Linked DNA regions of Macaca mulatta. The main gene of each other region encodes a partner of the protein of the gene in region 3 in a complex. Links are inferred from orthologs where the notes say so. Each region holds a gene or a part of one and is shown on either strand. Other genes may lie near its edges.

Evidence for each region. Proteins that work in one complex are often made in the same cells at the same time.
Region 1: CHD5 (region 3) and CDK2AP1 share a complex: the UniProt entries of both Homo sapiens proteins name them as parts of the nucleosome remodeling and deacetylase (NuRD) repressor complex. The link is inferred for Macaca mulatta from reciprocal best matches to the Homo sapiens genes CHD5 and CDK2AP1.
Region 2: CHD5 (region 3) and MTA3 share a complex: the UniProt entries of both Homo sapiens proteins name them as parts of the nucleosome remodeling and deacetylase (NuRD) repressor complex. The link is inferred for Macaca mulatta from reciprocal best matches to the Homo sapiens genes CHD5 and MTA3.
Region 4: CHD5 (region 3) and MTA2 share a complex: the UniProt entries of both Homo sapiens proteins name them as parts of the nucleosome remodeling and deacetylase (NuRD) repressor complex. The link is inferred for Macaca mulatta from reciprocal best matches to the Homo sapiens genes CHD5 and MTA2.

Annotation. Positions count from the first base shown.
Region 1 is NC_133416.1:130,671,525-130,677,424, reverse strand, and holds the start of CDK2AP1 (cyclin-dependent kinase 2-associated protein 1), read left to right. Parts: upstream 1-1,739; 5' UTR 1,740-1,806; coding exon 1,807-1,915; intron 1,916-2,696; exon of another isoform or gene 2,697-2,850; intron 2,851-3,740; coding exon 3,741-3,835; intron 3,836-5,690; coding exon 5,691-5,817; intron 5,818-5,900. UniProt on the Homo sapiens protein: Inhibitor of cyclin-dependent kinase CDK2. Also acts as a component of the histone deacetylase NuRD complex which participates in the remodeling of chromatin.
Region 2 is NC_133418.1:82,260,867-82,266,936, reverse strand, and holds the start of MTA3 (metastasis-associated protein MTA3), read left to right. Parts: upstream 1-1,909; 5' UTR 1,910-1,919; coding exon 1,920-1,947; intron 1,948-2,271; exon of another isoform or gene 2,272-2,611; intron 2,612-3,620; coding exon 3,621-3,688; intron 3,689-6,070. UniProt on the Homo sapiens protein: Acts as a component of the histone deacetylase NuRD complex which participates in the remodeling of chromatin.
Region 3 is NC_133406.1:234,647,773-234,653,237, reverse strand, and holds part of CHD5 (chromodomain-helicase-DNA-binding protein 5), read right to left. Parts: intron 4,808-5,465; coding exon 4,641-4,807; intron 4,470-4,640; coding exon 4,248-4,469; intron 2,287-4,247; coding exon 2,080-2,286; intron 1,869-2,079; coding exon 1,657-1,868; intron 1-1,656. UniProt on the Homo sapiens protein: ATP-dependent chromatin-remodeling factor that binds DNA through histones and regulates gene transcription. May specifically recognize and bind trimethylated 'Lys-27' (H3K27me3) and non-methylated 'Lys-4' of histone H3.
Region 4 is NC_133419.1:11,463,688-11,469,851, forward strand, and holds the start of MTA2 (metastasis-associated protein MTA2), read left to right. Parts: upstream 1-2,003; 5' UTR 2,004-2,281; coding exon 2,282-2,309; intron 2,310-2,427; exon of another isoform or gene 2,428-2,710; intron 2,711-3,045; coding exon 3,046-3,113; intron 3,114-3,481; coding exon 3,482-3,575; intron 3,576-5,091; coding exon 5,092-5,209; intron 5,210-5,340; coding exon 5,341-5,404; intron 5,405-5,589; coding exon 5,590-5,707; intron 5,708-6,164. Other genes in the region: EML3 (echinoderm microtubule-associated protein-like 3), read left to right, coding at 1-30, 488-586, 854-984, 1,065-1,268. UniProt on the Homo sapiens protein: May function as a transcriptional coregulator. Acts as a component of the histone deacetylase NuRD complex which participates in the remodeling of chromatin.

The DNA.
Region 1 (5,900 bases), on a different chromosome or scaffold from region 3:
CGCGGGGCCGCCGGGACTGGGACCGGGATGGGGTCGCCGGTGGGCAGCGGACTCGGAGGCCGGGGGGCCTCGGCCGGGCGCGTGGGAGCAGGGACTGCCCCATGCGGTCACGCGGGGATCCCCGTAAGGTGTGCGCGGAGTGAACGAAGTTGGCGCAGTCCTGGGGCTGCTAGGGCCCGCGCGCGGGCGTGGGGGCAGGGGGTCACGCGGACGCCCCATCTGGGAGCCCCCAGGGCTGATCCGGGAAGGCCCTCGATGCAGAAGCCGGGAGGGGCTCCCCTCGACCTTCCTGGGGCTGCGGCGGCAGCCGGGCGCTCCCAGGAAACTCCTCCAGAAGTTGTCAGGCAGCTTCGGGCTGAGCCCAGGGGACCGAGGGAGCCATGGGGAGTGGGCGCAACATTGAGGGATTGGTAGGTGCCGGGCTTTGTGACCTCACTGGGGCCCCTCTTCTCTGACACTTGGTCGGAAACAGACTTCCCAAAAGGCGGTTGTGTTGCGGGGCGTGGGGGGTAAGGACTCGGAGGGAAAGGAGTGGCCCCGTTGGTCACCGGTGCCACGCTGGCTCTCCTGCTCGAGTTTTGGGCCTTGTTTGCAAACGTTGACTTCATAAACCTCCCACATCCGAAGTAGGACCCATAAAAACGATATTTAAAAAAACCTTGGACACTGAGGTGTAGGGGCAGGAAAGGGTTAATCGTCAGGGTGCTGAGGGAGAGTTGAATTGCTCACTTGTGGGCTCGGAGTCCCAAAGAGCAAACAGCCACTGTTTTCTTCTCAAACATTCTCACCTCCTCTGGGGTCCGCAGACCTTACAAAGACGGGCTTTGTTGCCAGGTAGGACTGCCAGCAGCGTTCTTCCTCTGGCCTGTGGGGAGGGCAGGGGCTGGTGTTGCCAGCCTGGGCAAGGCTGACAGCTCAGGCTTGACCTGGTGTCATTGGGGCCGGGGCCTTAAACTGGGACCTTCAGGGTTTGGGGTCACAGGGATAGCGGCACTCACGGGGACCCCTGAAGTCCTGTTCTGAGCTGGCTGCACCTGTATTCAGCTTTTCTTCTCTTTCTTCTGTGGAGAATTTCAGGAGTGCCGAGATCCCCAGATCTGGGCTTTTTGGTGCCCCTCCCTCTCCCCCATGGACCCTTTTGCAGAACCCCAGCTCCCCTCCTGCCATTTGCATCCAAGATGGACTCTCCGCTGCTGCCGCTGCTCCTCCGGCTTCCTTGTCATCATCCCTCACGCCCTGCAGCCCTGCCTCCTGCTCACGGGTTGCCAAGCCGCGGCCTGGCCGGTGGTGGCAGTGGCGGAGTTAGACAAAGCCCCCGCCTCCCCCGCCCCAGAGCCCCCCAGGCGCCCCAAGTGGCGGGAAGGCCGCCAGCTCCCCAGGCCCCGGCGCTCTTTGTCTGGCGTGGGGGCGGGGAGCCGCGCCTGGCCCCAGGAGCTTCCTGGCCTCTGCCAACCCCTCGCTCCTGCACACTGCGCTCATTGTCTGAGATGCGCCGAGACGGCCTGCGCTGACGTGGTCCCTGTGTCCCGGTCCCTGTGTCTGCAGGAAGGAGTGACCATGAGTGGAACTCGGGGCATTTCCGCCATCTCTCTCCAGGACTAGACACCCCCCACTCAACCCTGAACAAGGGACTGGCCTGGACAGAGCATTGGAGTCACCGAGCTATTGCTCCTTGTCCCCCCAGCCAAAATGGGACAATTTCTCATTCCTCCTTCCTCTCAGCCCCGCAAAACCTAACCCCAGTATCATCAAATAGTAGGGTCTGGAGCCTGTAGACCTTCTCTTGGGAAGCACTGCCTCTAACAAATGGAGAAACTGAGGACTGGAGGGCGGGGGGCCTGTCTGAGGTCACACAGCCAGGAGTGGCACAGCTGGGGCTGGCGCCAAGTCCAGTGGGGAGGACAGAAAAGGAGAGGTGAGGAGCAGTGGGCAAAGCAGTTGGGGAAGAGGACGGGGGCACACCGAGTTGATTCGAGGGTGCGTGGGAAGTGGCTAGCGCCCCTCCTGCCAGGCTGCTGGGATCTTGCAAACACCCAGGGTGCTGTGCTCTATGGTCCCTCCCAGAGACTGGCCCTCGAGGCCAGAGAGGTGTAGCTACCAGGATCGAAACCCAGGTCTCTGCCAGCAGAGCCTGTGTTCCCCATGCCACGCTTGCTGCCACATCAGAAGCTCAGGAAACTGGGGTTTGGCTGATGTGGTGAGGGGGCGCTGGGGGACATCGCCCTGCCCAATTCCTGCAGTGGCCGTGGACGTGCCGGATATCGCGGGCGTAGTGCTTCCCCATCCCAAGCCGCCCATCCCTGTAGCACACGTGTCTCGTCATCCCCATGTGGGAGGCATGGAAACTGAGGCTCGGAGTGGCATGGTGCTTTGCCCAGTTCAGGATCCAAGTCCACGTTTCCAGGTCCAGCCCAAGCTGGAGCATAACCCTGGGCTGCAGTGGTGGCATCCAGGGCTGGCCTGAGACTCAGGGAGACAACTCGGGACTGTCCCCGCTCCCGGATGCTCCTGGACAGAGGGGCAGGTGCTGAGGTAGCTGGCTCCCTGCATGGAGGGGCAGGTGCTATGCTGTGTGCCCTGGGGCAACTCCCTCAGGTCCATGTCTCTAAATAGAGGGGCCTGGAGCCAGGGTTCTCCAGGGCTCCTCCCGGCTCCCCCAGCCTGAGGCCCTGAACTTCCTTCCTCCTCTGCCCCTCCCCTCACCCACACCAAGTGAGCAGCTGGTGGGTTTGGCCAGCCTGGCACCAGCTGTCCATCCCCGAGGCCAAGTCTGCAGCGCCCGCTGTGTGTGTGAGAGAGAGACCGTGTGGCTCTGGGGGCGGCAGGCGGGCAGCTGCCGAGGAGGACTAGGTAAATTCTCCATGGTTACCGCTGTTTGTCATTCTGCAGGATATCCTTTACCCGCTAATGGCCACTGGGACGCCATTGCGGGGCCGCGTGCTCCCAGCCTCAGACTCCCCTCCCAGATCCAGGAGGCTGCGTTCTGGGCTGGGCCCTGCTTGGTCACTGACTGCAGCCCTGGACAGGCCCCAATGTTGCATCCCATATGTGGGGCCTCAACCCTCCTCTCTTGGAATGCAGAGCCGTTGGGACATAGACTGCCAAGAGTCTGGTCCCCCTTTGGGGAGGGGGAGACAGGCACAGAGAGGTTGAGGGGCTTTATCTGGGGCACACAGAGGCCGTGGTGTTCTCTAGATTCCTAATTTGATGTCCAGCATGCCTGTCTCCAGCCAGGGTTGGGTCTCAAATACTCTAAGGCCTTCCCATCTTCCCCGTCATTGAGCACAGCAGAGATTTCGGTGCATAGGACAAAAAGGCTTGGAAGCTCCGCTGGTTTGGACCAGCCTCCATGGCAGTGGGCTCTTGTGGTATGATGTGGCCTCTAGGTTTTCATCCTCTGGGGCCAGGACACAGGGAGAGGGGATGGGCAGGGATGAGGCCAGGAGTGGCAGTAATTTTATCTTTGGGAGCAGCCCTGCTGCTTGGAAGGTTCTGGTTGGACAGGACGGAGCTCTGTGAGGACCAGCAGCTGCTACAGAGCTGGGGATGGCCGAGTGCCTTGTAGCTACATTTCATTATCCGTCTTCTACACTGGTCAGACTAGAGGTGGAGAGCAGGGTTCTCTATCCTGCTACAGTTGGTGGTGTGGGTCCTGGGCAAGGGCCATTGCAGGACCTGGAGTCCTTGCCTTGGTACAACTGGCTGAGCTGACTCCTGGCCTCTCTCTCCCCACCCCACAGCTGGGAGTGTCCACTCTCCTTCCACCAGCATGGCGTCTTCACAGTACCGCCAGCTGCTCAGTGACTACGGGCCACCATCCCTAGGCTACACCCAGGTATGGCAATGGGGGTGATGGCATGGTGGGAGGGCTGGGGGGAGACATGCTCCCCACCATCAGAGGAGAGAAGCTGGTGGAAGAGACGAAGGAGCAGAAAGTATGGGACAGAGCTTTCTCAGCCCAAGGCCCTGACTGGGCTCCGGCTCAGAACACATCAGAATGGAGGGCACTGGGGACTGTGTTTCGCAGGGACGTGTGAGGTGGAGCGGACAGGAGAGCACCAGGAAGGGGCAGCAGCCCGAGCTGCGCTGCGGCCCCCACCCCACGCGCTCCTCTGGTGGGTCTCCTCACTTCTCTTTCCTGGGCAAGTGAGGCCTGGCCTTGACCCTGGCTCTCCAAGCTGGGACAGAAAACGGCCGGTTCCCACTTGCTCTCCACGGGCGTGGGCCCAGCAGAGAGGAGGTGGCCTTGTCTCGAGAGCCAAGGTGCCTCTTGTTGAGGGCCAGTGTTTGAGAGTGTGGCCCAGGCGAGGCCGCTGCCTGGTTCCACCACTTTCCAGACTGTGACCCCCACTTGGTAACTGCCCAAGACCTGGGCTCCTCATCAGCCCAAGGGTGATCCTAGTACCCCCAGCCCAGGCTGGGGAACAGCAGGAATGGGGTAGCCACCATGTCAGCTGCACCCCACATCTCCAAGGGATGAGCTGCCCTGTCGAAGGTCCCAGCGGGAAGATGCTCTCCCTGGCTGGGCCCCAGTGCCAGTGTTCTGAGGTCGCCACGGAGCCTGTTCCTTGCCGAGTGGGCGGCTCCCCAGCCATGCCCCGCCAAGCCGTCCTGCCCCAGAAGGAGAAGCAGGTGCGGGCCCGTGAGCGGGACCAGCTGAAGAAGCGGTGGCTGCGGGAGGCCAGGCAGAGGCGCAGCCGGGAGTGGCAGTGCCACATTCTGGCCATGCGACGGCGGCGCCGAGACAGGCAGGAGGCCCGTGAGGCCTGGAGGCAGTGCCGTGGGGAGGCAGAGCAGCTGGACCAAGATGAGGACAGGAGGACAGAGCGCAAGGCCAGGGGACAGAGGCGGCGGTGGAGGAGGGAGGAGGCGAGGACCTTGCCCAGGGAGCTGGTGCAGCTCTGGGAGGAGGCAGCCAAGGGGAGGTGGTCTGGGCTTGCGGGCTTGCCGGGAGCCCAGCCTCGCTGATCCGGGTGCTTGCTGTGGGGCTCCCAGTGGTGGTGGGAGGAAAGGGTTTCTGGGGGGTGGGCCCTGTGGGTGGGAGGATGAGAGAAGGGAATGCATTCCAGGCTCTGGCGGGGCCATGGCCGATGGCTGTGGTCCTGGTGGCCCAGGTGCGGCCTCTGTCTCCCCACTGGCTTGGAGGCTCGGCACCTGCGATGTGCCCTCCTACTCATCTGCATCCTGGGAAATGCTGTTTGGACTCTTTTGTGCCAAGATGAGCTGGTTCCCCTGTTTTGTTCATTGGAGATGATACACTTGCTTCCTGGAGGCGACTGGGTGGTCTTCCTGAGTGTGTGAGGATAGAAGGGTGAGGACCATCCCCCTAACCTGTAGTTGTCCCCTAGAATGGGACGTGCCTTGGCCCAGCTGAGGTGGCTACCCCAGGAGTCTAAGGCTGGACTGCGTTCCCTCCTCTGACCGGCCCAGGGGCCTCTCCACCCACCTGCCTGTGGCCTTGGGGTCAGGCTGCTGAACCCCTTTTTTTTTTTTTTTTGAGATGTTGAGATGGAGTCTTGCTCTGTCGCCCAGGCTGGAGTGCAGTGGAGCGATCTTGGCTCACTACAACCTCTGCCTCATGGGTCCGGTCCAAGCAGTTCTCCTGCCTCAGCCTCCTGAGTAACTGGGACTACAGGTGCCCACCAACATGCCCAGCTAATTTTGCTGAACCAATTTCTTTCTGATTCTAGGGAACTGGGAACAGCCAAGTGCCCCAAAGCAAATACGCGGAGCTGCTGGCCATCATTGAAGAGCTGGGGAAGGAGATCAGACCCACGTACGCGGGGAGCAAGAGTGCCATGGAGAGACTGAAGCGCGGTGAGCCCGGCCCCGCTGCCCTGCCGTGACCACAGGCTAGGCCTTTAACTCTGGAAAGACTTTTGGGGAAAACATGGGAGGGT
Region 2 (6,070 bases), on a different chromosome or scaffold from region 3:
AGAAAGACTGTGGTTCAGAACATTCTAGGCCAGAGAAAAGGGCTGATTTATAATCCCAATATTGCTGCCAGTTTACTGTGTGATTCCAGGTGAATTATTGAACCTATTTATGTGTCAGCTCAGAAATGGAGTGATGTCAGTTTTGTCAGAATGTTTTTGGTGGGATCTCTGGTAAATGTTGAATGACAGCTATGCAATGTGCAGAACAGAACACTTTTGCTTTCTTCTCTGGGTCAGAATTTGACACATGGCTCAGAATTTGACACACAGCAGAGAACCCTTGGGAATCTGTGGTTTCCTGGGGTTAAAAAGAAAGCAAGAGACACCTGTTATTTGCACGGTGCTCTGTGTTCCCTGGTTTAAAAAGCACTTTCAGATATCATCACAACTGATCCTTACCACACCTGTGAAGGGGGAATTCGCGTTCCCATTTTATAGACGAGGAAACAGGTCATAGAGTCAATGTAATTCAATGGTGCTTTCTTTTTTATTTTTATATTTTGCCTCAGCTACGCATAACTTTTTTTTCACCTCAATACTCTGTGATAAGGGACCATCACAAATGTTATCACCAAACAACCGAAACACAACCTTCTTTTCTGGGGGCACCTCTTAGCCCCGCACAGATGTCAAACCCAGAGTCGACAGCACACAGCTGTGTATCACCAGACATTCCAAACAAGCCACCACACCAAGAAATCCTCTTCGTGTTTATTATGCACCAATGTCTGGGAGTACTTTGGAATGGACTGGCTTCTCTAAAGAAAGTTATTTGTGTTCGTTTGGGGGATAGCCAGCTAAGATTCAACGTTGTTGGTTTTTTTTTGTTTTGTTTCTGTGAGAGTAGGAAGGCCGTGAAAACAGAGGTTGTTTAGAGAATTGGCTTGGGACAATAATCATTTAGAAGCTTTAGGCACATAACCAGCTAAGTGTCCATCCATATCAAGCTGATTGAACAGAATCTCCTCTTTTTGGGGGTGGTGATTGTGAACTGTAGGGCCCTGTTCCCCCATGGACAAAGGAAGCCCCCCACTCCTAAAGGTCCCAGCAGAACAGGCCCTGCATATATAGGGCCTGTCTAGAGCCAGGGCCTCCATCTGGGTGTTGGAGAGTTGGTTCTGCTCAGCCCAGTTTTGGGGTGAACGATGATGCAGTTAGGGTAGCCTAGGAAGGGAGTTTTTCAACCTCTGTCCCCAGCCGGGTCTCTGGCGAGGCGGGAAGCACCCAGGGTCTTCCTGGCCCTAGAGCCTGCAGGCTCCAGGCCGGCCCCTTGGATCTCACCACGAGGAAGGCACCCTGCTGCCTGTACTTATTTGCGTCCAAGAGTTTGCATTGAGATTGGCGCTCGCCTACCAGGTCAGCCCCAGGGGGGGTCCCCAGGGACAGAGGTAGGAAAGGAGGACCTGTCTCGGGGTGGACAGGTGACGGGGTACACTGGGTGGGGCAAGAGGTGCTGGGGAGAGGCTGAGCCCCAGCCCCCACTCTAATTCTCTAACTGCCCCTGGTCCGCATTTGAGCGCAGGCCTCTGCCTCGGCCAGGACCCTGGCTCCAGGGCCCTCCACTTCCAGCGAGGCCCCCCACCCTCCCTCCCACTCTCCTTCCCCTCCCCCTCCCCCTCCCCCTCCCCCTCCCCCCCAATTCCCGCTGGTCCCGCAGCGCTCGGGCCTCCCCGGGCCTCCCCCGGCCCGGCCCACTAGGCTTCGCTAGCCTGGCGCTGGGGGCGGGCACCAGCCCCCACCCCTCGGCGTCCCCTCCCCTTCACTTCCCCCTCCCCCTGTCCCCTCCCTTCCCTCCCTTCCCCCCCGTGGCGAGGCAGCAGCGGAGGCGGCGGCGGCAGCGGCGGTCGAGGCTGAGGCTGAGGAGGTGGCGGCGGCGGCGGGCGGGGCTCGGCTCGGGCTCCGCGGGCGGGCGGGCGGACATGGCGGCCAACATGTACCGGGTCGGAGGTAGGCAGGCTCAGCCCGACCCGGCCCGTGTGGGAGCGGGCTCCGGGACCGGGGGGCCGGGGCGAGCGCACGCCAACTGCCGGGAGCCACTGGCGCCGGGGCTGAGGTCGCAGGGGGCGGGGGCGCCGGGGCCCGCAGAGGGGCCAGGACTCCCCACCCCCACCCCACCCCTCCCCTCCCCCCACGGGGGCTCGCGAGGGGCCGGGGCCACCTTCACCCTCGCACCCCGCCAGGTGTTTAGGGCCAGGCCTCTACTTGGGGGTACGAATTACCAGACACCTCCCTCCACGAAACCCTCATGGTGGTGGGGCCCGTCGAGCCCCCTGAGAAGGTGGCCTTCTCGCGTGGCTTCTAGGCGCTGGAGAGGATGAGGGGACATCCCCTCCCCTGCTTCTTCCCCACTCAGTGGGAGCCTGGGGTGGGGGTGGGGGCGGTGGGGGCCCAGCCAGGGGCCCAGCTGGACAGGCCTGTTTGCGGGCCTGCACCTTGCCGGGGCCCTGCACCTCGCCTTCCTCGGCCCCCCTCCTTTCGTTTCTGGTCCAGCCCCCCACGAATGGGGCTTCGTGGGACCTGGGAACCTCAGCCGGAGGTGGGGAGTTGAGCTCTGCCTGGACGTTTGCTCTGCTGCCTGCCTCCTTCCCAGTCTGCGGAAGAGAGAAATAAGGTCAAACAAACTTTCTCCCTACTCACGACGCCCTCCTCCCTCTTTCCTGGTAAAATAATAATTCAGATAAGTGGCGTGTTTGTATGAGAGACTGGCTCTTCCTTCTCCGCTCATTAGCTGAGCTTCTGATGGATGGTGGTGGGAATGGCCTGGCTAAATGAGGCCACTTTGCAGAAGACAGCGGCGAAAGAGCCACTAAGATAGACAATAACAATGCAGCTGCCTTTGAGATAAACACACAGTGGGAAGTTTCCAGCGAGCCTATCAGATGAGAGGAAAAGCCACACTTGAAAAATGTTATCTTTTTAGTTGAAAGCCTGCAGCAATTTCTTAATCACAAGACATTAAATGGATCTGGATTAAATATGGTAAAAGGGTAAAAAAGATGGTGATATCACCCCCAGGGCACTTTGCCTCTTATAATTGATCCCCCTGACCCGCTTTTTCCCTCATCTTCCCAGGTAGAGCTGTGGAAAAGTTTGTTAGTGTTCTTCCTCTTACCTGTTCTGCTCATCTGATTTTTTTTTTTTTTTTTTTTTTTTTTAAGTAGCGATTGAAATGTAGGTTGGACTGTGAAGCCTTTCTCCATGCTCTGAATGTGTCTTAGGTCAATAGTTTTATGTGAGAAGCAGCCTCCAGGGCAAATTGTATTGGAGGAAAAAGATGTGGAAGTAGTTATAGTACAGAGGACACATGTTTAGTGTGCCCCGACTACCCAGTGATAAGAGGTGTCTTTTTTGTTTATTATTAAAGAAATGACATATTGGGACAGAAGTCTAGGAGAAACTGATGAAACATTAATTGAAATGAAAATGCCAAGAAAATAAAGGTCCGTGAATAGTAGGCACATGAGAGAATATATTAAGGCTGCATTATTATGTTTGCTTTTACCAGTGAATGAATTATGAGCTTAATTTCAAACGTGAATTGCCTAACATAAAAAGTCTTGGATTGACAAATCTGAACTTTCTGTTGAAAATATTAAGTTCTGTACTTCCTTTAATTACAGATTATGTCTACTTTGAGAATTCCTCCAGCAACCCATACCTAATAAGAAGGATAGAAGAACTCAACAAGGTATATACACTGAGTGTTCTTAATTTTAATTTAAAAAATATTTATTTTCCCTTAACGGGTAATTAGGTAAAGGGTGGCCTGGTGCGGAGGCTCATGCCTGCAATCCCAGTAAATTGGGAGGCCTGGTGGGTGGTTTGAGACCAGCCTGTGCAACATAGTGAGACCCCATCTCTATTTTTTTTTTTTTTTTTTTTTTTTTTTTTTGAGACGGAGTCTCGCTCTGTCACCCAGGCTGGAGTGCAGTGGCCGGATCTCAGCTCACTGCAAGCTCCGCTTCCCGGGTTCACGCCATTATCCGGCCTCAGCCTCCCGAGTAGCTGGGACTACAGGCGCCCGCCACCTCGCCCGGCTAGTTTTTTGTTTTGTATTTCTTAATAGAGACGGGGTTTCACCGTGTTAGCCAGGATGGTCTCGATCTCCTGACCTCGTGATCCGCCCGTCTCGGCCTCCCAAAGTGCTGGGATTACAGGCTTGAGCCACCGCGCCCGGCCTATTTTTTTTTTTTAATTAATATAAAAAATAAAAATAGGGCTGGGCACGGTGGCTCATGCCTGTAATCTCAGCACTTTGGGAGGCCGAGGTGGTAGGATCACCGGAGGTCAGGAGTTCGAGAACAGCCTGACCAACATGGAGAAACCCCGTCTCTGCTAAAAATACAAAAAAATTAGCCGGGCATGGTGGCACATGCCTATAATCCCAGCCACTTGGGAGGCTGAGGCAGGAGAATCGCTTGAACCCAGGAGGCGGAGGTTGTGGTAAGCCAAGATCGTACCATTGCACTCGAGCCTGGGCAACGAGTGAAATTCCATCTCAAAAAAAAGAAATAATAATAATAAATAAAAATGAATGGGGTAAAGGGCATAAGAGATGGTTTTACTTTCAGTCCCAGACTCTTTGAAAGTTGAGATTTTAGGCCGGGCATGGTGGCTAATGCCTGTAATCCCAGCAATTTGGGAGGCCAAGGCAGGTGGATCACTTGAGGTCAGGAGTTCAAGACCAGCCTGGCCAACATGGTGAAACCCCGTTTCTACCAAAAAAGTACAAAAAAATTAGCTAGGCATGGTAGCATGCACCTGTAATCCCAGCTACTCAGGAGGCTGAGGCAGGAGAATCGCTTGGACCTGGGAGGCAGAGGTTGCAGTAAGCCGAGATCACCCCATTGCACTCCAGCCTGGGTGACAGAGCGAAATACTGTCTCCAAAAAAAAAAAAAAAAGAAAGTTGAGATTTTAGAGAGTTATGCAGGATTCTGAATTCCGACTATGCTTTTGCTTTTTAGTTACTGAATATTTAAAAGTCTGCAGATATTTTCAAATTGCTTAGAGCCTCTGAAAGAGCAGTTGACTTATGTAACTCAGACCCTTTTTATGTTTAGAGTCATAATGTGTATTTTTCTCTTTTTAGTGAATTAATATTTTCCTCTTCCAGGTTGAGAAAGAGGAAGCTAGGGAACATAATATTGAAAGGAATTGGCTGGCGGGTGCAGTGGCTCACACCTGTAATCCCAGCCACTTTGAGAGACCGAGGCGGGTGGATCACCTGAGGTCGGGAGTTCGAGACCAGCCTGACCAACTTGGAGAAACCCCATCTCTACTAAAAATACAAAATTAGCCTAGTGTGTTGGTGCCTGCCTGTAATCCCAGCTACTCGGGAGGCTGAGGCAGGAGAATTGCTTGAACCTGGGAGGTGTAGGTTGCGGTAGGCCAAGATCACACCATTGCCCTCCAGCCTGGGCAACAAGAGTGAAACTCCTTAAAAAAAAAAAAATTTGAAGGGAATTTGTAAAATTCTGGACTAGGCTAAATTGTCTGTGGTAGCTCACACCTGTAATCCCAACGTTTTGGAAAGCTGAGACCTCAGGATCCTTTGAGTCCAGGAGTTCAAGACTAGCCTGGGTAACACAGGGAAACCCTATCTCTACCAAAAAAAATAGCCGGGTATGATGGCACATGCCTGTAGTCCCAGTTACTTGGGAGGCTGAGGAAGATTGCTTGGGCCCAGGAGGTCAAGGCTGCAGTGAGCTGTGATTGCATCACTGCGTTCCAGCCTGGGTAACAGAGACTGTCTCAAAAAAAAGAATATGGTTTTGGTATAATAAATATAAAGTAGCTTTGTACCTTTGGCCCAGTTAAAATGTTTACATTAAGGTTTGTCTGTGATCGTAGATTATTAGGAAAACAGAAGCCTTATGATTGCAGGAGAAGAACCTTTTTTCGTTTTGTTTTGTTTTTTGAGATGGAGTTTTCACTCTTTTAGCCCAGATTGGAGTGCAGTGGCGCAATCTTAGCTCACTGCAACCTCTTCCTCTCAGGTTCAAACAATTCTCCTGTCTCAGCCTCCCAAGTAGCTGGGGTTACAGGCAGGCACTAGCACGCCTGGCTAT
Region 3 (5,465 bases):
GTGCAGTGGCCATGCAGGGTGAGGAGCCGTCTCTGCAAAGTAGATAAGGACGCAATTCCTGCATGTGAGGCGGTCTCTTCCGGGGACACAAGGACCCAGTGGCCAAGCCCAGCAGCACACAGCTTGATTCTGGCCACTGGGAGGGTCCTCAGGGCCTCCCACCTGCCCAGGCTAAGGCAACCAGGCCAGAGGAGTGCTGCAGGGCCGGGCCGGGGCATGGCTACCCCACACAGCAGCGCGAGGAGGCACACAGACCCGGTGGGCAGCGGCTGCTGCGGGCCTGGGGGCCATAAAGAGAAAGACCAATCCCCAGTTACCACAGAAACTGATGTTTGTTTGTTTTCCAACACATAATTGATTGTTTTGCAGACTGGGGGAATAAATCCAGGGGAGCTTCACCTGTCCCACTTTGGAGCAGAGAGAAGAACTACCATGTATATTTTTAGCATGCAATTTAGTAAAGGTAGAAAACCATAGGCCAATTCATTGCCGGGAATTAGGTTCCCACAGAAACTGACCCTTGAAGGTCATTCTCAGGAAGGTCTGGAGAGGAAAAACGTGGGTGTCCCATAGTTGAAGGGGCAGCTTTTTCAAGTTCCGCGCCCCTCCTTCTGAAGACCGCCCACAGCCAGCCTCTGGCAAGCTCCGGTCACCTGTGCAGCAGTCTGTTCCCTACAAGGGCCTCAACGCCCAGCAGTTGGGAGCCAGGACTGAAATCTGAACATTTCAGGCTCTTAACCTCTGCTCTACCCAACAGCTGCCTGAAGCCAGAAGCACTGAGTGGCAGAGGCCACCGATCCTAAGCCCCTCAAAGGCAGAGGCCACAGGGTAGCCAGGTTGGGGAGCATAAGCTCCAAGCTGCCACCACACAGCAGGTACTCTGGGCCCCACCCCAAGGCCCATCTGTCAGCCACCACCAGTTCTCAAGCCCCTAAACTCAAGAATCGGCAGGAGTTCCCATCACCCACCAAATCAAAACCAAAGCCCACGGGCCTCCTGCCTCCGGCTCTTTGTCCCAGCCTCCTGCAACCTCTGATTGCTAAGGCATCCCAGGGAATTGCCAGACTGCTCCAGGAAGAGCTGCTGCTGGGGCACTGGGGGGTGCAACAGTGGCTAAGAAAGTAGGTCCTGCAGTCAGAAAGCATGGGGTTCAAATCCCAGCTCCACTCCGTGGCTGTGTGATTCTGGCAAGTGACTTAACCTTGCTGTGCCTATTCTCACATCAGTAAAACAGAGGTAAAAGAAAGACACCTCTCTCCCAGGGTAGGCGGTGCTCAGTACAGCCAGCTACTATTACAAACGTGGGGGAAATGCGGACATACCCCCACACCTCGGGCCTCCCGCATCCTCAGACCCCTCCTGCTGGTATCAAGCACTAACCCAGCACGAGGGTCCCGAACCCCCAAGGGTGTGAACACGTGTGCATGAGTGTGCAGGCATGCATGGGACGGCCCCTCCAGCAGATCAGGCAGATCTCCAGCACTGGGAGCCCTAGGCCCCTTCCTTATGCCCCTGCTGTGCCCACATGTGGTCCTGCACAGCAGCCCCAAGGCAAGGGCCCTGGTGCCCTGCCCTGCACCATTTTACAGAGCAAAGTAGCTGATGCGGCCCAGCCCCAGTGATGGGCAGGGAGGGTAGCCAGCTGCAGGCACACACCTATGGTTCAGGATTCGGTGAATCATCATCCACTCTGGCTTGATGCCATAGCGGTAGAAGCGCTCCTCCATCTTGGCATAGAGGGGGTCCTTGTTCTTCCTCTTCTCGCTCTTGCCATCCTCATCCCCAGAGCCGTAGTCAAAGGGGGGCGGCTCATCCATGTCATTCTTTCTTTGGTAGTTGCGATACATCACCGTGTGGTACAGCTCCAGCTGCTCACAGACGGGCACGAGCCACAGAAGGGGGATGAGCCATGGCCCTCTGCGTCTCCCTACCCAGCTCCCCTAGCCCCAGGCCAGCACCACCCCAACTCCCAACAGCACCCCTCAGTCAGAGGCGCTTCAGCCCCTTCCCGCCAGCCCGGGAGGGTCCAGGGCTCACCAGGTCCTGAGCCTTGGCACAGCCACCCTGCTGGGCACTCACCTGTAGCTCCTTCACCCAGGAGCAGTGCCAGTAGGACAGCCCTGCCCACTTGACAAAGAACTCTCTCTCAGGGATGCCCTCCAGGGGCTTGGGTGGAGGGAGGCTGGGCTCCACGTCAGGCCCAGGCAGCCCCACCATGAAGGGGGCAGGGGGCTCCGTCCACCTCCAGTGTAGAATCCTCTGGACTTTGCCCTTCAGTGGGGGACACTGTGGACAGAGAAGGGTCCCCAAGGTGGGGCTCAGCTGCAGGGCCCCACCCTGAGGCTCCCATGACAGCAGGCTGCCACGCAGGCTCCCTCCCATCAGTGCCACTGTCCCCAAGTCAGAACAGCACCACCGTGACGCCATGACATCCACCCCGTCCTCAGGAGCCGCATGGGTCATGCACACAGGAGACGGGCAATGGGGGTCTGGGAGACCACGTGGCCCTTTCACTCAGTGGTAAACTCATCGGCACCCAGAATATCTGAGCCAGGGTAGGTAAGACTGCCATATGCACACGACAGAGGGGGAAACTGAGGCCCACTCGGCAAGGGACAGCAGAGCAGGGAGCAGAATATGAAGTTCTGGACTTCCCCTACCTTAGGTCTTCCCATTGTACCCTGAAAAGAGGTCACATCATTGTGTGACCCCCAAGCACCCAGGGAGCATGAGCCCCATGCTGGAGCTCAGGGACATGGCAGCCTCCAATCCGCCATCCCTCACCTGGGGCAGGGCTGCACCCAAGCACTGTGCATCTAGGCTGGGACAATGAGGCCCCATTTCTGGCAGCCCACAGACACACTGCACGGGCCCTGACCGATGCTACGGTGACAATGAGCTGCTGGCTGGCAAAGGCGAGAAATGCAACCGCCACAAACCCCACCACCTGGGCCCTGAGATGGGTGGGAGCAGCCTTGGCCCTCCAAGGAGGCGGTGCTGAGCCTGGCTGGACAGGGTCAGGGGTGACTGATTCAGGGAGACAGCTCGGTTGGGGACAGCAGGTCCCAGCTCTGCTACTACCTGTCCTCGGAAACTTGTCCAAGCCTACTGAGCCTGCTTTCCCATCTGTAAAATGGCCCACCCCTTCCTCCACCTACCAGGTTTGTGGTGCCACATCACACCTGAAGGCATTCTAGAGGTGCAAGGTATACCACATAGCCAGCCTTCTTTTGGCCTTGGTGACAGCAAAGGCCAAGAGGCAGAGGAGGAGGAGGACACGGGAGGTAGGAAAGGCTCCTCCGCTGGCTCTGGGGGGAGTGGAAGAGGGGACCCTCCCACCGCATCCCAACTTCTCAGGGAAGAAGCTGAGAGGAACTCCACTCCTGCCTCCCTCCCATCCCCAGGGCCTTCCATGAATCCTAGGAAAGCACAGGAGGCTGCACCCCTCAAAAGGGTCCTTCCCTGACCCCGACACAGACACAGACAAGTATGCGCGCGGATGCACGCACACACACACACACACACACAGCACAAGCCCACATGCACACGGGACGGCCCAGGGCTAAAGGCAGCACAGCCCAGGACCTGAGGGGTGGGGGATCTGGCACCGCGGGGCGCAGGGCAGACAGCTCAGAGCAAGGGGCCTTCTCATGTCTACTGTGATTGGGGGATGAGGGATGGGGGTGCCTCTCTTCCTGCAGAAACTGATGCTCTGGCCCTAGGACCCTCCTACCCTCTCCCTATCCCCAGCCTCGGAACAGGAGCCAGGTCTGGGGTGGCTCCAGGGACCTGAATCTGAGGGACAGTTTGGCCCTTGTGTGGCCTTAGGCAGGTCATTCTGCTTCCCTGAGCCTCAGTTTTCTCATCTGAAAAGGAAATAACAAAATACGTGGTGCCAGAATACTCAGTAATGTTAAAGGATACTATGATGGACGTGGAGCCCTTGCAGAGCACGTGGTCACTGAACAGTGGTCGTGGTATTGGCATGATCACCACAGACCTGCCTGCCTTTCCCTAACACTCATGCCTCCCGTCTCTAGGGGTGTCAGACACGGAGCGGGATTTGGGGAAGCTAGAGTGGGCGTGGCCTCGAGCGGCGCGGGCGGAGCTTTGCGGGATCAGCTACCGAGGCGGGTCCGGAGCCGGCAGGGGCGGGGCCTTTTGAGGAGGGCAGGCCTTCCCCTGGGGGCGGGGCCTGTTCCTGGGGTGGGGCGGGGCGTCCGGCGCGGGGCGGGCGGAACACTCACAGTACAGCGCGGGCAGAGCCATTCACCGTTTGGGATCTCGGGCAGTGGCGGGTTGAGGCAATGCAGGTGGTAGGAGGAGGGGCAGGCATCGCAGCAGAGCAGCTCGCCCCCGTCCTTGCACACGCGGCAGAACTCCATGTGATCATCCTCCTCCTCCTCGCAGCCGCCCTCCTCCTCTTCGTCGTCGTCGTCCTTTGGCTCCCACTGGATCCCCTCCTTCTCCTGGGGGAGGAGGCCAGGTGGAGGCACCCTGGGCGGGGTCCCCGCTCCACCAGGGCCTGACTCCCTCCCTCCCCCACAGCATTTCCCCGCATTCTGCCCCCAAATGAGGGCACAGGGGTGGGGGAGCCAGGCGTGGCCCCGCTCCCAGCCCGGGGCTCTGCCAAGGCTTACACAATGGGGGCAGCTCCACTTGCCCTCGGGAGCCTTCTCCAGCTCTGGGTCCAGGCACACGAGATGGTAGGCCCTCGGGCAGGTGTCGCACAGGATGATCTCCCCACCTTGCTGGCACACCTCACAGTAATCCTGGTGGTCTGTCTCATAGCCGTCACCATCATCAACTAAGGTAGGGGAGAGGCAGTCATGGAAGGCCTCATCCGCACTCCCAGAACACAACCAACTGCACCGCCCCAGGCCAGACAGCCACAGAGTAGATGCATAATAGATGGTGGGTGGATAGGTGGGTGGATGAGTGGACTGACGGTTGAGGTTGTAAAAGGGTAAGGAGATAGAAGATGGATAAAAGGAAAGAAGGAAGGAAGGAAGGGTAAGAGAGTGGGTGGATGGGTAGAAAGATGAATGGATAGATGGATGAATGGACAAATGGATGGATGGATGAATGGATGGACAAATGGATGGATGGACGATGGATGAACAAGATGGATGGATGGATGGATGGATGGATGGATGGATGGACTGATAGATGAACAAATGGATGGATGGAGCAATGGATGATGAATGGACAAATGGATGGATGGATGGATGGACTCATAGATGAACAGATGGATGGATGGACAAATGGATAGACGGATGGAGAGATGGATGATGAATGGACAAATGGATGGATGGATGATGAATGATGAATAGACAAATGGATGGATGATGAATGGACAAATGGATGGATGATGAACGGACAGATGTATGGATGGATGGATGGATGAACAAATGGATGGATAATGGATGGACAAATGGATAGATGATGGATGGATGGACAAATGG
Region 4 (6,164 bases), on a different chromosome or scaffold from region 3:
CCAATTCTGGGGACTATGAGATTCTTTACTGTGAGTGGCAGTGGAGCAGGACATGGGGAGAGGGTAATTGGAGTGGGTTTTATGTAGGGGGGTCTTAGAGGTGTTGTCAGATAAGGGAGTGGAGATAGGGTTAAAGTGGAGTTGGAATTATACATAGAAATTTTGTGATTTGGAAACAACGAGTTTCACACCATGTCTTGTTGACTTGAGGGAGCTGAAAAATGCTCTAAGAAGTTTCTCAGGGCAAGCGTGAAGGACTTGACTTATCTAGGGAGGAGGAACTCATGGAAGCTGTTAGAACTTCAGCCAGTGCTCAGGACAGGACGCACGCAGGGTGGGTTTCACAGGGGGAGGAGGTCACTACTACAGTGACCAGATCACATGCCATCGCTGGGTTTCATGCCAGTCTTTCCAATCTGGCTTTTCCTGGCATCTTCCCTACTGAGGGCAGCGTGAGAGCTGAGCTGGGCGGGCTCCCTCTCCCCAGGGGACGTGGCTGGAGGCTGCAAGCAGCTGAAGAATCGCTATGAGAGCCGAGACCGGGAATGGGCTACCTACACCTGTGTGCTGGGTTTCCACGTCTACGGTGAGCAGGGGCGTGGAACCCTGCTGGAGGGGTGGGGGACAAGGTGGAGCCCAGTTTGGGCTCGGAACGCTGGGCGTGTGTCATTGGGTGAGAGTCCAGAAACCTGAAGATCCAGCCCAGGAGGCCCCTCCGGCCCTCGGGACCGGGAAGGCTTTCCTGGAACGCGACAGTGGGTGGCTGCGGCTGCCGGAGCGCCTGAAACGGTGTAGCTCTGGGCCGTGGGTGGCGGTGGGTAGGAGGTCGGGCTGAGGCCGGCCACTGTGCTAGGCGTGTGGCCGGACGGCTCCGATGGGACCGACATCAACTCCCTGTGCCGCTCCCACAACGAGCGCGTGGTGGCGGTGGCCGACGACTTCTGCAAAGTGCATCTATTCCAGTACCCGTGCGCTCGTGCCAAGGTGAGGCCGCGGGGGCCGCCGGGGTGGGACGGGTGGGCCCGAGGGCTCCGCCGCCACTGCAAGTCTTCCCTCCCGCCCAGGCGCCGAGCCGCATGTACGGGGGCCACGGCAGCCACGTGACCAGCGTCCGGTTCACGCACGACGACTCGCACCTTGTCTCGCTGGGCGGCAAGGACGCCAGCATCTTCCAGTGGCGAGTGCTGGGCGCTGGGGGCGCGGGGCCGGCGCCTGCCACGCCCTCTCGAACCCCCTCCCTGTCCCCCGCCTCCTCCCTCGACGTTTGATCGCTGCCGGCGGGACCTACTGGCCTGGCGGCGTGGCCCCGCCCCGCTCTGCCCCGCCCTAATCCCCCACGACCAGGGGCCGACTCTTTCCTCGACTGACTTCGAAACATTCCCGACGGTGCATTTCCCTGGAGGGCGCGAGCGGCGCCCCTGCACACACTGTTTAGACCCGCTGGTTGAGCCGGGCAGCCCCAACCTAGGCCTTGACTCCCGCTGCCTGCTGAGGGGCAATAAACCAGAACCAAAGTCGCCTCCCGGTGCTTTTGTGGGGCGCTGCTGGGTGCCTCCGGGGCCCTGTGGGGTGGGGACGAAGGAAAAGAGGCGTGCGGAAAGGGCAAGGGAGCGTAGACCATTTATGCAAATAACAGGCAAAGCCGCTTGCAAATAACCTGGCGAAGCGCTAAGGCGCGCGAGTCTTCGGGGCGGGAGGAGGAGTTGCAGGGCTCCAGCTAGGACAGAGTTAAGCCCCACTCCTCTCCCGCCCTCGGAAAAAGGGGTGGGGGGGGTGCCGAGCTGCAACGGAAATAGCCGAGCGATTGGCCGACAGGAGCCGAACTTCTTCCGGAAGTAGCCGATCTGCGGGGTCTCGCTCTCCGACCTGAGCCGAGCAGTGGGCCTTGTTCTCCGGATCGGCCGAAGGTGTTACGGAAGGAGGCGAACCCTGAGGCGGGCCGGGCAAGCCTTCCCTGCGGCCGGCAGAGCTCAACGACTAGTGGGACTCGGCGGGGGTGGGGGCAGCTGCAGCCTGGCAGGAGCCGAGCTCGTTCCGGAAGAAGCCGAGCGGACCGGGGCCAGCCTCAGCGTCCCGGGAGTGAGGCGATAGCTGCGGCGGCGACAGCGCGGGCCGGGATGAACCGCGACGGCTGAGGCAGCGGAGGTGACGGCTGCGCGGGCCCCAGTGAGACTCCCTCGAAGCGCCAGCCCACCGTTCAGGGCTTTGCCTCTAGCCGAGCCCTGCCCCCGCGAGCCTCCCGGACCCCTTTGTGCGGCCGGAGGCGGCGGCGGGAACGGCCATGGCGGCCAACATGTACCGGGTGGGAGGTGAGTACCGGGCGCAGGGGTACAGGGTCCGGGGCGGGAGAGGTTGTGGTCGGGACCGGAGGGGCTCGGCACCGGGTGGCGCGAGGCGCAGCGTATGGGGCGGCATGGACCGGAGCGCGGACCGGAACCGGAACCGGGAGACGAGGAGCTAGGGTGCGGGAAACCGCGACGCGGCAGGGCGCCGAGACTCCTGGAGAGAAGCTGCGGGCAGCCCCGACGGCACTTTCAGGGCTGCGTCGGGGGCTCCTCGGGGCACGGAGTGGGCTTCGGAAACCGGTTCCGAAGGAGCTGACAGGGTGGGGAGGGAACGCGAGGGGCTGGGGCGACGGCTTTGCCACCGCGGAGGAGCCGCCCGGAGGTTTCCTCTTCCCAGGCGTTATTGTGCGCCTCAGTTCGAAAAGGTGGGGGCCCTGCGCTAGAGCGAACAATTACTTCGCCGCGACTGAGGTGCAACTCGTTGCTGAGTTGTGGGGACTGCAGGGGAATCCCTGCTTCTTGCCTGTTCCTTAAGGCTCACTTTTGAGTAATGGATCTGATTTTAGAACTAGGTGCGGTGGGGGTGGGGGACATCCTTATTTTCTCTTAGTCTTTACACTTTCACATCTCAGCGCGCTCTCTGCCTGAATCCTTATCTTCTTTTGATCCACTCAGGCCAACTTTCTCTCCTACTCTGGTGCTCTGCGTCTCTCCCATCTCCTCTGATCTTCGTGGTTCTCCCCCCTCCCTTCCCTTACAGATTACGTCTATTTTGAGAACTCCTCCAGCAATCCTTACCTGGTTAGACGGATTGAGGAACTCAACAAGGTGAGTGGAGCAGAATCTCTCTCCCTCCCTCCCCCAGTGGTCTCTTCTGAGGTTTCTAACTTCGGGTGGAAGAGAGGACCCTATACTAAGTACCCATTCATATTCATTCATTCATTCATTGGATGTATTCAGGAAAGGCTATTGAGAGCTTAGCAGGAACTTTACTATTCTGTCTCTTGGGGGCAAAGGAAAGGGATTTGGAAGTCTGTCCTTGAATGTAAGTGTTTACTCATATTTTCTTGGGCTTTTTAATTTAGGTCCCTCTGAAACTTACTGTTATTTGTCTCTTTGTGTATTTCTGTTCCCAGATGATCAATTTTCACTGCTACGTTGTTTTGTTTCTGTTTTTGTTTTTTTCCTCCCCTTAGACTGCAAATGGAAATGTGGAGGCAAAGGTCGTCTGTCTTTTCCGGCGCAGGGACATTTCTAGTAGCCTCAACAGCTTGGCTGATAGTAATGCCAGTGAGTATCTTCATCCCTTTCTTTTCCCCCTCCCCATGATCTGAGGCCTGCGCATGTCCCTGCAGGTATTTCCCCTGGTAGCATGCCCAAGGCAGAGGTGTGAGTTTGAGGGTGGGAAATGCCTGGCCTGAGGAGGGAGACCTGTTTTTACACGTTGGGGTTGGAAGCAGGGTGGAGAGATTGTGATATGGTTTGTGTATGAGAGTAGGAGAGAGACGATAAGGTTGATTTAGGGGATGAAGACGGGGTTTAGAGAAACAGAATGCTTTTCTAAAGGGGGGCAGTTTGGGGTACACTGGGACAGTAGGTGGTGACTGAAGGTCAAGGTGAAGAGGAAGAGATTGTACTGAGAAGCCCGCATAACAGAAGCAGCCTTATTTTGTAATCACAAGGTGGTGAGAATACCTGGAAGTTAGAAGATGGCTGGAAGTTTTCTTGCACTTTTTAATTTCTCACCTTGCCCATTTCCCCACCTGCCACCCCCCATTTTACATCTTTCCCTTTTCATTTTGCTCTATTTTCATCCTCTTTAAGGTCTCATTTTCTTTTTTTAAAAAAAAATATTTTCCTTAGCTGCTTTTTCCTTTCCTGCTTTGGTTTTCTTTTTCCTTCCTTTTGTTCCACCTTTCTAAATCATTTTCCTTTTTCAGACTGCTCTGGGTGAGAAGGGGTTAAAGAGGAGCCTGGCTAACCAAGTTCCCTGGCCCTTTAGGGTTTCCAGCCCCATCTGGCAGGGGCTGACCTTGGCCTTGTCCAATCAGAAGGGGTGTTGGGGGTGTGGTCCCCCTTGCCTTAGCACAGGGTTTCCGGAGCACACAAGCGAGGGGTGGAGCCTACTGAACAACCCCCCCTTCTCCCTGAGGTTGGGAACAATGCACCAATGAGCCTGGGCCTGAGGCTTTTCTGCCCCCTCCCACTTTGGTTGGCGCCTAGCCAGATTAACCCCTTCCACTAGGTTTCAGGGCAAGCTGCAGCTCTTTCAGGAGGAAGATGTTGGCACTAGCTTGAGAGGTGTTGTCCTTGAAAACCCTAGGAACTATTATTAGCCAAGTAGAGAATGAGGGATAGTTAGGGCTGCATGTGATGTTTTAGTGCAAAGAGTCTCCTGAAATTGAAAAGAACTGGTAAACACAGTCTTGTGTGATTTTTTTTTTCATCTTACTGGGTTGCTGGACCTCAGGCTGGTTTAGCAAGAGACAAATGTAATGTTCTTGCTGGCCTGTTGTGGACTTTGGTGTCTGAGCATTGGCAGCTGGGTAGCGATGTATGTCTACAGCATTCTTCGTACTCTCAGCAGTTCTTCCCTAAGAGCATTACTGATAGAGTTGGGAGCATCCATGATGGGGTATACAGCTAAGAAGGAAAGCTGGTAGGATAAAGGCATAGAAGGCAGACACCTGGGAAATGTGACAAAAAAACAGCCAAGATAGCAAATATTTTCCCTGAGTTAGAGTTTCCAGGGTGGTGTCTTGCTGGATCCATTTCTGACTTGGTTTCTTCCTCCTTAATCTCCCAGGGGAGTTTGAAGAGGAATCAAAGCAGCCAGGGGTGTCTGAGCAGCAGCGCCATCAACTGAAGCACCGGGAACTTTTTCTTTCTCGGCAATTTGAATCATTACCAGCCACCCACATAAGGTACAGGACAACTGGGGCCAGAATAGCCTGCATGCACTTACGTAGAAGATGGAGAGAAGGAGGTGGTCTTCAGAGATGCTGTGGGGAGGGAGAGTGGGGCTCACCGGGGTTTTCCGATCTGTCTTCTATAGGGGGAAATGCAGTGTGACCCTCTTGAATGAGACAGATATCTTGAGCCAGTACCTGGAAAAGGAGGTGAGAAAGAGATGTTGAGAGAAGAGGGAGGGGAATGGGTATTGCTCACAAAAGGGAGGGGGAAAGGAGGACAATGAAAAGGTACCGGGTTGCCAGACTGCCGGTCATGGAAACTCAGATACACCTCCCTCCCTGCCGCCTATGTGGATTGCTGCCCTGCTTACCTTGTCTCTCCCCAACTCCAGGACTGCTTTTTTTACTCACTGGTGTTTGACCCTGTGCAGAAGACACTTCTAGCTGATCAGGGCGAGATTAGAGTTGGTTGCAAATATCAAGCTGAGATCCCAGATCGCTTGGCAGAGGGTAAGCAACAGGACAAGACTGTATGGCTACCAAGTTATCTAATTCTAAGGGGCACTTTAATTTTTTTTATTTTTTTTTGAGATGGGGTCTTGCTCTGCTGCCCAGGTTGGAGGGTAATGGTGTGATCTCAGCTCACTGCAAGCTCCGCCTCACGGGTTCATGCCATTCTTCTGTCTCAGCCTCCCGAGTAGCTGGGACTATAGGCTCCCGCCACAACGCCTGGCTAATTTTTTGGTATTTTTAGTAGAGACGGGGTTTCACTGTGTTAGCTAGGGTGGTCTTGATCTCCTGACCTCATGATCCGCCTGCCTTGGCCTCCCAAAGTGCTGGGATTACAGGCGTGAGCCACCGCGCCTGGCCCCAAGGGGCACTTTAGTATTATAGTCTCTGTGAATGGTGTCACCTGGGGTTGTGTAGTACACAGTCTGCAGGGCTCTCTGCCATGACCCTGACAGAA